Linked DNA regions of Coturnix japonica. The protein of the gene in region 1 binds, or shares a complex with, the protein of each later gene. Links are inferred from orthologs where the notes say so. Each region holds a gene or a part of one and is shown on either strand. Other genes may lie near its edges.

The links. The genes of interacting proteins can lie anywhere in the genome.
Region 2: the proteins of CD40 (region 1) and CD40LG are in contact, whole or in part, in a crystal structure (PDB 3QD6), measured with the Homo sapiens proteins. The link is inferred for Coturnix japonica from reciprocal best matches to the Homo sapiens genes CD40 and CD40LG. Residues at the interface, in NP_001241.1 of Homo sapiens: Glu64, Ser65, Glu66, His76, Cys77, Gln79, Tyr82, Asp84, Asn86, Leu87, Trp109, Cys119; in NP_000065.1 of Homo sapiens: Ile127, Glu129, Ala130, Lys143, Gly144, Tyr145, Tyr146, Cys178, Pro217, Cys218, Gln220, Ser245, Gln246, Ser248, His249, Gly250, Thr251, Gly252.

Annotation. Positions count from the first base shown.
Region 1 is NC_029535.1:9,594,351-9,600,257, reverse strand, and holds the start of CD40 (tumor necrosis factor receptor superfamily member 5), read right to left. Parts: upstream 3,738-5,907; 5' UTR 3,393-3,737; coding exon 3,200-3,392; intron 3,016-3,199; coding exon 2,890-3,015; intron 2,801-2,889; coding exon 2,657-2,800; intron 2,511-2,656; coding exon 2,411-2,510; intron 1,739-2,410; coding exon 1,677-1,738; intron 1,594-1,676; coding exon 1,495-1,593; intron 1,320-1,494; coding exon 1,294-1,319; intron 1,046-1,293; coding exon 902-1,045; 3' UTR 1-901.
Region 2 is NC_029519.1:4,223,933-4,229,738, reverse strand, and holds the start of CD40LG (CD40 ligand), read right to left. Parts: upstream 3,527-5,806; 5' UTR 2,241-3,526; coding exon 1,929-2,240; intron 988-1,928; coding exon 850-987; intron 51-849; coding exon 5-50; intron 1-4. UniProt on the Homo sapiens protein: Cytokine that acts as a ligand to CD40/TNFRSF5. Costimulates T-cell proliferation and cytokine production.

The sequences.
Region 1 (5,907 bases):
CATGGTGCTCGGATGGTGGGTGGTGGGCTCACACCGCTCCCTGCAGCCCCCGCCGGGCTCAGGGTGGGTGCTGGGTTCCTTCCATCCCTCCCCGGTGGGAGCACGACCCCGGGGTCCCCGTTTGGAGCAGACGGAGCAGCGGGGAGGGGCCGCCCGTGCCGCAGGCCATGCTGCTCACGCACACCCAGAGAATAATTAAAGTTTAAATGCCATCTTTTTTGTCAACGGTGTGGTGGAGAATAATTGAGTGTAATTGTTCCCATTGTAACGGCGATGGTACAGCTCGGAGCGGAGCAATAACCGCGCAAATGTCAGCAGCCGGCAGCACCGCGGTGGGGGCTGCGTGCGGTACGTGGGGCTGCGGGGGCGACGGTGCGGGGCCGGGGGCGGCCGAGGGGAGCGGTGCTGAGCCGGGCCGCCCCCCGCAGACCCTCCGCCTGCTGCTCGCTACGGGATACCGGCCTTGGGATCCCGGCTGAGCGCCCGCACCGGGCCGTGACCCCTCCGCCGCCGGTGCGGGGCTGTGCGGGAGCGCTCCGCCCGCTTCGAGCCGCCGACGGCCCCGCAGCGCCCCCTCCTGGCCCCGGGACGGCAGCGCACCGCGTGGGTCGGGGACCGGGATGGGTTTGTTTGTTGTCTCCCACGTATCCCGGCCGCGCCGGGCCGGCACTGCCGTGCCCTGACACCGAGCCGACGGGTCCCGCCGTGGCGGCTGCGTGTGGGGCCACCGGGGCTCCCCCGGGCAGAGCTGCGCTTCGGGTCGGCCCATGCACGGCGCCCCGCTGGGCGCTACGTCGGTCGCTGTGCTGGCGGCCGGGCCCTGTGCTCACCTCCCACCCCAATGCAGGGGGGTCAGCGCTGTCCCTGCCCGCTGCTCCCATGGAGGGCAGCTCCCACGCTGTCACAGCTGCTCCTGCTCTGCGATGCGGCTCTCCTTGCCGTCCTCCTGTGTCACGGGCTGCCCTCCCAGCAGAGTCTCCTGCACTGGGAAGTCCACCTCCTCGGGCTGCTGCATCTCCAGCTCTCTGGGCATCTCGGCCTCAGTCTGTGTGCGGGCAGGAGGTCAGGGCCAGGAGCAGCAGTCACAGCCCCTGCCCGCAGCCGCATCCCTCCATGGGATCCTCCTGCACTCACTCCCACTGCAGCACAGGAGCCTCACCCCATGTGGGTTCCCTGTGTGGGTTCCTGGTGGCCCCGTCCCCATTGAACAGCCCTAAGATAGCCCCCGTTCTGCAGCCCACACATCCCTACCGTGCCAGTAGGGACCCCAACCCACGGCTGGAACCAACTCACCTGTTTCGGCCCACGGCGCCTGAGGTCTGCAGGGAAAGGAGAGAAGGCTGCTGTTGGAGCAGGTCCTGCCCTGCCTGGCCCCCAGCCCTGCAACAAGCTCTGAGCTCAGAGCTGGAAGGGCTGGGTGCCACAGTGACACCCCCTGAAGGGCCTCCCCGTTTCTGGTAGAACTGCTGCTGCCTTCCCCACTTGGCTCCTCACCTGTGTGCACCAGGCAGTAGATGCAGATGCCCACCAGGCAGGTGACAACAGCAGCTGTGATGGGGATCAGCACTGACAGCGATGAGCGCCGGCTCGACTCTGCCAGGGGATGGGGACTCAGTGGGCTGCACAGAACTCCAGCCCATCCCAGCTCTGCACCAGGCAGGGTATGGAGCACTTACCACAGATCACATCTGAAGTGTTTGTCCCTTTCACTTTCACCACGAGCCCCTTTTCCTCGCAGCTGCAGGCAAAGAATGAGACTGTGTCATCACAGTGGGAATCCCACAGCCATGGGGCTGGGAGCCAAGAGCATGCAGTCAGCAGCCCCTGGGCCCTGGGAGCTCATGGTCAGGGCACAGCAATGGGGCTCCTGGGGTGGGATGGGGATGGAGATGCCAGGGCCCTGTCAGAAGCCATTGGAACTGAAAGAGGTGGGCATGTGCCTTGGGTTGAGGCACAGGAGGGGGATACTGGGGCTGGGGCACTTCAGCTACTGCAGAACAGCTCAGAGATGGCTCGATAGCATGCCACAAAGTGGCTCAGTGGGGAGGTAATTTCTGGCCATAGATAGGAGCAAAGTGAAATCCAATGGCTGGCAGCTGAGGCGAGACTAATACAGTCCAGAGGTAACGCTCACATTTCTACCAGGGAACATGAGGAACTTTTCAGCCACTTTTTACAGACAGGAGTGAGCTGGGCCTGGAAACCCCCCCGGGGTCTGGCAGTCCATGAACTGAGGGAACACCACAACAACTGCCACCAGCTCAGTGACCTGGGTCTCACTGCACCCTGCTGCCCTCACTCCTGCCCTGCACAGGCCATCCCAGTGCCTCGTCCCAGTGCCACGAGAGGTGACAGCAGGGAATGTGCAGAGAGGAACAGGGATGGAGCGTGGGGAGTGGCTGACACTGACCTTGTCCAGAGGTGGCACGGCTCGGTTTTAGAAGATACATTGGAGAAGGTGCCTTCTGCACAGGGCTCACACGGTGAGGTCATCTGGGCTTCGGCCATGGCTGGAAGGGAGTGGAGGTTGCAATGCAGCCCTCACAAAGCTCTGGTAGGGCCCCATGCAGAGGAAGCCTCCATCTCTGGGAGCACCTGAGGTTGATGCCGCCAGCACATGGGGCCCATGGCAGGGATAGGGGTGGCTGGGTCTCACCTGCCACAAAGCCAAAGCCCTGCTTGCAGGGCTCATTCTCCACGCAGGTCTGGCAGCTGGCATCAGAGCAGTGCATGCCAGCCCGGCACTGGCACACGGTGTTGTGTGTTGTGTTTCCATGTCTCTTCACGATGAGGCCAGCGTCTGTGAAAGGGAGTGGGGACAAAGTGAGAGTGAGCCTGGATGGAGTGCAGCCCCTGCAGCCCCACACGCTGGGGACATGGAGCACTTACTGTCCTCACAGATGTCATGGGGCGTGCAGTGCCTCTCCTTAGTCCAGCCCTGCTGGTAGTGTCCATTCTCACAGGGTGTGCAGACAGAGTTTTCCGTGTCGTTGCATTCAGAGACCAGCTTCTTTCCTGCAAGACGGGCTGGTGAGGGGGGAAAAGGGAGCTTTCCCCCACAGGCAGCAGATCTGACAGCAGGACGTGGGAGCACCAGGGGCTGTAGCTGTTGAGGCCACTGTGGCATGATGTTCAACTGCCAAATGCAGCCCCAGCAGCCACGGTGCAGGACCTCAGGGAGGAGAAGGCATTTCTGTACCTGGCTGGCATCGGTTGCAGCATCTGCCCTTGTGCTCGTACTGCTTGTCAGAGCAATTCACAGCATCACCAGGCTGCCCACACTGGAAGAGATGAGACCCATGAAGAGATGCTGCTCTGCCACACTCCTGCACAGCTGCACATCCTCCGAGTCGTGCCCCAAGGTGAGGTTTTCCTTGCACCACATTTCCCATGCCTGGGCTAACCACAGACCGCAGCAGATCTGCCTGCGCTGCCTGGCACTGCCAGCTCTCTCTTTGAAGTGGGATGGCAGTGGCTCCTGTAGGGCAGCCCCGTGCTTTCCCAGGTTTCCTACGGGGTGGTGATTGCTCTTCACTTTGGGTGACTGCCAGCGCCACCAGTGCAGCAGTGCTGGGCAGGGGGAGCGGTGCCAGCTGTGCCTCCTGGGCAGGAGCATCAAACCCACACAGACTGCTGCGTCTGCTCTTGGTCAGCCCCAGCACGGTCCTGTGGGCAGTCCTGGTGTGAAGGGGCACTAGCTTGGGATGCCTGACTCTGTAGAGGGGAACTGACCCCCCCCCCCACCATGTGTCTGTGACTTCAGGCAGGAAGGGGAACCAAAAGTGAGCTCAGACACCCCACCCTGCCCCTGCTTCCCCCAGGGCCCGGCCTTGCATCGAACCCACAAGACCCCATAACAGAGCTCAGCCCCTCCAGCAGGGACAACACGCCCCATGCCTGTCCCATGCTTTGCCTCGACACAGGCTGGGATTGCTGCTGACAGGGACCACGTCGCCCTCTCCGCACCTCAAATCCACAGCTGCGCCCCAACCGCCCGTGATGGGGATTGTGGGACAAGGGGAGGCACATGGAGCTGGAAGGGCAGGGACCGCCGAGCCCCTGCTGGGGGAATCTCAGCCACGAGAACGAGGAACGACGAAGCTCAACGCCCGGGAGTGGGAACCGTGCTCCGGGCACCCAGCCAGGGGCTCCCCGAGCCCTTCCCGGCACAGCGCTGGACGGCGGCCCCGGGACCGGAGCTCAGCGGCCCGACGGCGCCGGGCGCTCCCCCCCCACCCCGCAAAGCATCGCCGCATCCCGGTCCCGTTTCGGGCCGTGATCACGGAGCGCAGCGTTGCAGCCCCGGCCCGGCCCCGCTCCCACCCCGCGGGACGCCGCACTTACGTTCAGGAGCAGCGCGCACAGCAGCCCCAGACCGAGCCGCCCCATGGCCCGAGCCGCGCCCATCCGACCCGACCCGAATCGAACCGAGCCGTGCGGAGCCGGGCAGCCGATATTAACGCCTCGACCCGTTTCCGCCCAGGAAGGGGCCGCAGGGGCCGCCCATCCTGCAGTCACCGGGCTGAACGTCCCGAGACAAAGTCCCCACCGGCAGCACCCGCCGCCCCGGGACTTTCCCGAGCTTCAGAGCGTAACCGAGAGCCGTGCGGGGCCGGGGCTGTGCCCGCAGCTCCCCCGCACGGTGCGACCGGCCCGGCCGAGCTACGGGTGGATGTCAGCGTGTAACCGGCTGCTTCCTGGGTGAAGGAGGAGCGGCCGCAGGCAGGAATCTGCCCTGGGAAGCAGAGGAGATGTTTGATCTGGCCCCGACAGCTCCTTCCTCATGCAGAAGTGCGAGGTTTCACTTCACTTTTAAGAAGTCCACAGGGCCCTTCCGTGCTCCCCATGGGCTCCGGCATCTGCTTAGAGTTCCCAGAATCACATCAGCTCAGTACGGGAAGAGGCAGAAGCACAGCAGGGCCCTGAGGCTGCACACAGCCGGGCTGCCTGCCCTGCATCCCGCAGCAATCCCCGTGGAACTTCCCATCCCGTCCCCGTCAGACACTTCCCCATACACAGACGTGCAGGGTGCAGTGTGTGCTGCGGGGGGACTTACACAGTCCGTGCCATCCCAGCACATCATGCAGTCACACTGCACAGCCTCCAGCACAACGTTATGGTGCTGCCATGCTCCCGATGGGCACCACCGCAGGAACGGTGCAGCTCCCGGTGCTGCGGGTGTCTGGCTCCACAGCAAGGCCTCGCTCCGTCCCCAGCCCCAGCTGCATCCTGCAGGACCTGCATCCCTCTGGAGCCCCATGCTGTGCTGCAGCCATGTGCTCTGCATTGCCACCATGCTGCCATTACCCAGCAGCAATGCTGCCATAACCCAGCAGCAATGCTGTCATACCCAGCAGCAATGCTGTCATAACCCAGCAGCAATGCCGCCATTACTCGGACAGCGCCGCCCCGCGGCCGCGCCCCGCCGGACTACAAATCCCATGGTGCATTGCGGCAGCGGGGCATGCCGGGAGCTCAGCCTCCCTCTCTGGCAGCCATGGCGGCTCGCGTTACGTCAGCGCGTCGCGCCGTGCCGTAAAGCGCGACTGAGCGCCCTCCCTTCCGGCCGCTCTCACGTCCGCGCTTTGCGGCGGCGCCGTGCGACAGCGGCGGTTGGCGCCTTTGTCCTGGCGGGCGGCGGCCTGAGGCGGAGCGGGCCCGGTACGGCGGTAAGTGCGCGGCGGAACGCGAGGAGGGAGGAGCGGAACGCGGAGCTCCGCCCTTCCCGGGGCCGAAGGAGGCGGCGGGCGGCAATGGAGGGCAATGGAGGGACCCCGCGGCCGCTGGGAAGGGCCGGGCCGTGCGGCTCGGAGCCTCGCGGGGCGGTTCGGGTTCCGGGCGCCGCCCGTTTGCAGCCGGTGGGGGTTTATGGGTTCGGTGGTGCGGGGCTGAGCCGCGGTTTGTCTG
Region 2 (5,806 bases), on another chromosome or scaffold:
TCACCTCTGTGCATTTCAAATTTTGGCAGCTCCTCACTGGCTGTCTTATCCTGCAACAACAGCAAAAATATATACTTGAAGATAGGTATCCTTCCACTTTTTAAAATAATACACTGTTTTAAGATGTACGAAACAAACACCATTAAAGCCTGTGTGTAAAGGATGCTCTGGACAAAACTCAATTGGTGCTGTTTGTTACCAACAGAAGGTACCAGAAGACATCAGATCCCCCAGCACCTTCCCAGCATCATGTACGGCTGTGGGCTGCCCTGTTCTTTGCAGTATGGGGGTAGCAGAACTTCTGGTCTTAGGTCTTTAATTTTAATAATGCTGTGCAATTAAAATGCTCTGCAAGGTGACTCTTTTTTACCCAAACACGAGAAGCCTCTGCATTAGGTGGAGGTGATGTCCCTAAACCATAGGGAGGCATTTGCATTGCATCCTCCTCCTGCTCCTTGCTGGACTCACTCCAGCTGGTCCAAGTCATGCACTGCTATTAATGGCTGAGCTTAAAAGTGCTCCTAACATCCTCCTTCCCACCCGCACAGCAACTAAGAGAGCTGGAAGACAGCAGAATGCCATTGTTTTTCAGGCCAGGATGGCAGCTCCATCCCATCCCACCTTGGGCACTCTGCAGTTGGATTTGCTCTGGCCATGCTTTTGGGAAAAAAAATGGATGAGATTTTTCATTGATGTCATTAGTGTAAAAATATCATGTAAAAAAGCGTATAAAAAAGAGCCCTTCTTCTGTAGCCCCAAGATTTCAAGAAGGCTGTGGGTGATGCTTTGTGTGCCTGAGAGCCTCCCTCCACCTTCAGCAGGGGTTGTATCCACCCAGCAGCGATCTACCTTGCACTGGAGGTCCTGGAAGCCCTTTAGAACTTTATCACAGTCCAGTAACGTCGACTTCTGACCTTCTCCCGTCTGACATTTCTGCACTTTTCTCAGGAAGATGTAATCTTCATTTAAACTCAACACCTCTTCCATCTGCAGGTGGGGGAGAGAAGAGAGAGGGTCAATGTCTTGCTGCTGGGAAATGCAGATAGGAGGCATCCTCCCCAAATCACAGCCTGGAAGCCCAAGCCCCAGGCTGTCACCCGCTTACATCTTAATTTAGATCAAGACAACACATTTAAAAGCCACTTAATACCAGTCTTATCTTTGCATCTGCATTCTGGGTTTAAGGTACATTCCATTTCTATAGCTTTCTGCTTTGGGGGAAACAGTTTTAGATCAGTGATTTTAAGTGTTGCGTGGTGCTGCTGCAGTCACAGCAACTTCAAATAGAGCTTTTCAGCTCTTCAGTTTTTGCTAAGTGCTGTCCCACGTGCAGGACAGGATTACGGATACTATGCACCTTCCATCAAAAAGAGCCAAGTATTAAGACCCACCGTTTATTTTCCCAAAGCAGAATCATAGAACTGTTTGAATCAGAATGGTTCTTTAAAGGTCATCTAGTGCATATCCCCTGTAATAAACAGGGACATCTACAGCTCCATCAGGTGCTCAGAGCCGCATCCATCCTGACCTTGAAAAACTTCATTTCTGGACTACTTTATCCCCCCGATGAGTGTCCCAGTGCTGCTGTGGCACCAGCATGACCACCAGGAGCCTGAAGGCTAACACAGCACCCACGTTCACCCAGACTGGCCGCGTCTGCCAGGTTTGCTCTTAGCAGCTCCTCTTTACCGATCCATTCTCTCTTTGTTAAAGAAGGGAACAGCCCTCTTCGTCTGTGTACGTCTTCTCTTAGTGGCAAGTTAGAGCAGGAACAAGATCATGGGTGTATAAACCCCATTTCTGCACCAGTCCAGTGGTCAGCAGCATCGTGCCCCACGTTCCTCCTTTGGGTGACCAGCTCTCTTCATGCAGAAAGCAAACGATGTTAGCAGGCCAGCAGAGACAGCTTTATCTTATCCAACACTTACCTTATCCATCTTCATGTGAAGATATAAACAGAAGAGTACGGTCCCAATGGTCTGTACCACCATGAACACAGCGAGGAAGCACAGAAACATTTTCATGGTGCTGGGAGAGGTGCTGCCCATGGGTCGGGGTGCTGCAGAGCTGTAGGCTTCATTCATCCTCCGGGCAAGGTGCTGGTGCTCCTGCAAATGAGCTGCTTGCAAGTAGCATGAGAACTGTTGTGTGAGCAGCCGCCGCTCAAGGGATACAGGTTGCAGCAACCTACACTTCCTGGAAAAAAACCCTTCGTAGTGGGTAGGTTTGTTCACCACCATCTCCCACAACAAAAAAAAAAAAGAAGAGGTTGCTTAGACTTTCTTCTCTGGTGCACTTCCATACTTTTTCCTACTGTCCTACCAGAAGCAGGTAGCAATTCTTAGTCTCAATTTTCATATCTCTGAAACACTCCTGGCTTTCCCCAGTGTTGTGTTGCTTTTTTTCCTATTGTGGATGAATGTTTCGTGACCAGCCATCTTCAGAGCAATGTGGACCATGAGTCAGTGGGCAGTATCTCTGAATTGTGGTGGGGGCTGCCAGGCACTGGGAAGCTCTTTGGAACTCGTTAGTTTCTCAAAATGAGAAGAAAGGCTTTCTACTCTGTTTCCTCTGTGAGACAGACAACTTTGCAATACCTGGAGGAGGCAGATGGGTTGTGCTGGTTCTTGTCCTTCCCTTGTATCTCCCAGAGGTGAAGACTTCCTGGGTAGGATTAGGATGGATGCTCCTGGAGAAAGGGACATCTCTGTGGGCGCTGGGACCACAGTGTGGGCATGGCTTCATGCTCCTGGACAGCAGGACTTTGGGTCTTGGTGCTTGGCTGTCAGTTTGGAAAGACACAATTTGAGCAGCTTTTCCAGTGTCATGGTGAAGTAAGTGCTCACCCTTCAAACACAGGCACAAGCAACCTCAGACTGTGCCCCCATTAACACAAATCTGGGCATGGAAAGGGCTGCTGGGGACTCTGGGCACTGCTACCAACCACAGACCTCCACCACAGACTGGCTTTGCTCCATGCTAGAGCAAAGAGAATGAAGTTGGGCTGCCTGCACAGGGGGCTGGGGTGATCAAACCATCATGCAAAGTTGTTTTGAAAGTAACAGGCTGAAAGCAATGCTCTTATCAGATGTGCACGCAGCAAATAAAGGGCTGGATCCTGCCAGAAGCAGGGTGGTGCTAAGCAGGGCTGCTCACCCACAGTGACAGCAGAGGAGAGCTCCCAGCGCCATAGGGCTGCACAGCACAGCAGGATGGGTTCCAGAGCTCGCTTTTGCTATCTACCCACTCTCTCGCATCCTGTCCTGTGTGGTTTAGGGTGCTTTTAGCTACAACTGCAAGTGCTGGTAGCAAAGCACAAACATCTCTGCAACCCAGTCAGTATTTGACCTTGGCAGGTCACTGCCTTCCTAAATATAGCCAAATAACTCAAATATAACCCAAATCACAAATGTCTTACAGTGCCAGGATCTTTGCTGTCAGCAATTCAGTGGCTGATGGATATTCAGGGTCCTGTGCCCCCTTACCACGTTGACTCTGCCACCTTCTTGCACAGAGGGGAGCACTGAATTATAGAATCATAGAATCACAGAATCATTAAGGTTGGAAAAGACCCCTAAGGTCATCAAGTACAACCATCAACCCATCCCCACCACACTCACTTAACCATGTCACTCAGTGCCATTTCTCCATGTTTCTTGAACACCTTCAGTGATGCTGACTCCGTCACTTTCCCGGACAGCCTGTTTGGGATGGGGCTGCAGCCCCCATGCAGTTTGAGGGCACTGCCAACCAGTGCTTTCCTTCCCTCTCATATTAAAATCAGTATTACCTTTGGAAATACCAACCCTGGTCCCTGGCAGGGCTCTGAGCTGACACCGAGCTCCTAAAACTGTCCCTGCCATGGAGGGTCTTCCTCCTGCACCATCAAGAAGCTGCCCCCAGGAAAACCCCACAGCACTGGGGGCCACAGCAACCATCAATGCACGCTCTTCAAAGTCCTCACCCCATGCCTTGGCCAGAGGGCAACCACCGACATTTTCCAAAGCTCTTCAGACTTTCCTCCGAATTTAATACTCATGTTTGGAGGAAGTCTTCATATGAGAAACAAAACGACACGAGAAGTCGTTACTTAATACTTTCCCCGAATCCCCAGTGTCGGGACCCAGAGGCAGTCAATAATGTGTGAAACCACAGCAGTGAGTGATACAGAGAGCAGCAAATAAGGCTTTGCACAGCTATCCCTGAGCCCTGGCCGTCCCTGGCAGATGAAACCCTCTCAGAGATGTTTCTGGATGGCCACCTGTCACCGTTTCACCAAAATGAGAGAAAGCTGCAGGGAATGCTGGAAAGCCCAGCCCCATAGAACACACCTGCAGCTCTGTGAGGACGGGGAAAGGCTTCGCTCTGGGGTCCCCAACACAAAATGTCTACGGAAGCTCTCTGCTTTGCTCTGCAAACCAGGAAACACAGCCTCAATAGTCACCAGTGCCCTGACGAAGAAGACGGTGTGGAAAATATGACAGCGGGGATCCCAGCAGAGATTCGTCAGCGCACCTTATTAGGAGGGCAGGCTGGTCGCTCTTCTTTAGGATAACGTTTTGTTGTGTTGGCAACCCAGCCCCAACAATCTCCTCTGGCCCCATTACCAGTAGTAATGGTAGTTCTGCATCACACGGGTAGGGCGAGGGGCTCAAAAACCATGTCAGCTCCTGCCAGGGCCAGGTTGTCTCATGGCTGTACATTGTTGGCCACTTCCTGCTGTAGGAACTTTGGGGAGGGAGCAGGAGGGCATGGTCCGGAGGGATGATGGAAAACCCAGTGCCAACCTATGTGGGATCCCCCCAGAGAAGATGAAGTTCACCTGCACCTGGAGACAGTTGCACCACTGGGAAACCAACAGGGTTTTCTTTCACCCTCAACCCCCTGAACATAACCATACCCATCTGCCTCCAACCCGAGTGAGACAATGGGAAAATGTGATCCATCGCTTGCATTCCTATTGACCTACTTGCAGTATTTCCGCTGATCAGCAAATTGTCTCCACTGCAGTCGGTTTTGTTTACTGAGAAAATATCCGGTTGCAAGCCCTGGTGATCTGCCAAAGGCTGGGAGCAGCTCTGAACGCAGCAAGGTGAAAGCTGATGAAAAGAGAGTGAATTTTTTGGGTGCTTGCTGCGGTTTTATGTAAGTAGCTCTTTAAAAGATGCTGCTCACCTCACCAGCTCGTTCCACTCGACAAAAGCCAGGTGCTGTGCACCACCAAGAGCAAGACACTCAGAAAGAGGATTTTATTCTGAGTCACAAAAGGAGTTTGCCTGCAATGCTGTAGGAGGGATGCGGAAGGAAACCTATGAGAAAAACCTGATTTAGTCCTTCTGACCACAAGCAGAAATTTGAGCTTTAACATCATTTGTTTTATCATTTCTTTAGATTTCCTTTTCTTGTGTCTCCCAAGATCTCATGTCTTCAGGTCTGTACCCATCACAGGAGAGAGAGGAGACAGACAGAGCCAGAACATCACAGAAAATATCACCAGCATCCGGAGAAGGAAAGGTTACAGTACAGTTTCCGTTCATCTTTTTTAAACTTTATATGACTTAGAGAAAGCTCTGGAGCACAGAGCAGCCTCGGGGTAGTAGGAAAGGTCCAGTTGGGGATGGTCACATCTCCTGTGGAAGAGAAGTGCAGGAGGTGGCCATTGTTAGCATTGTGGCAATGGCAGACTTCAGCCTGGTTGCTCATGGTGTCCCACCTCCATGGAGAGACACTTGTGGGGGTCAGCAAACACTCCAGGCTCCAGCAGGCATAATGTGAGCTGCCCGTGTCACTGCAAGGCCAGGAGACA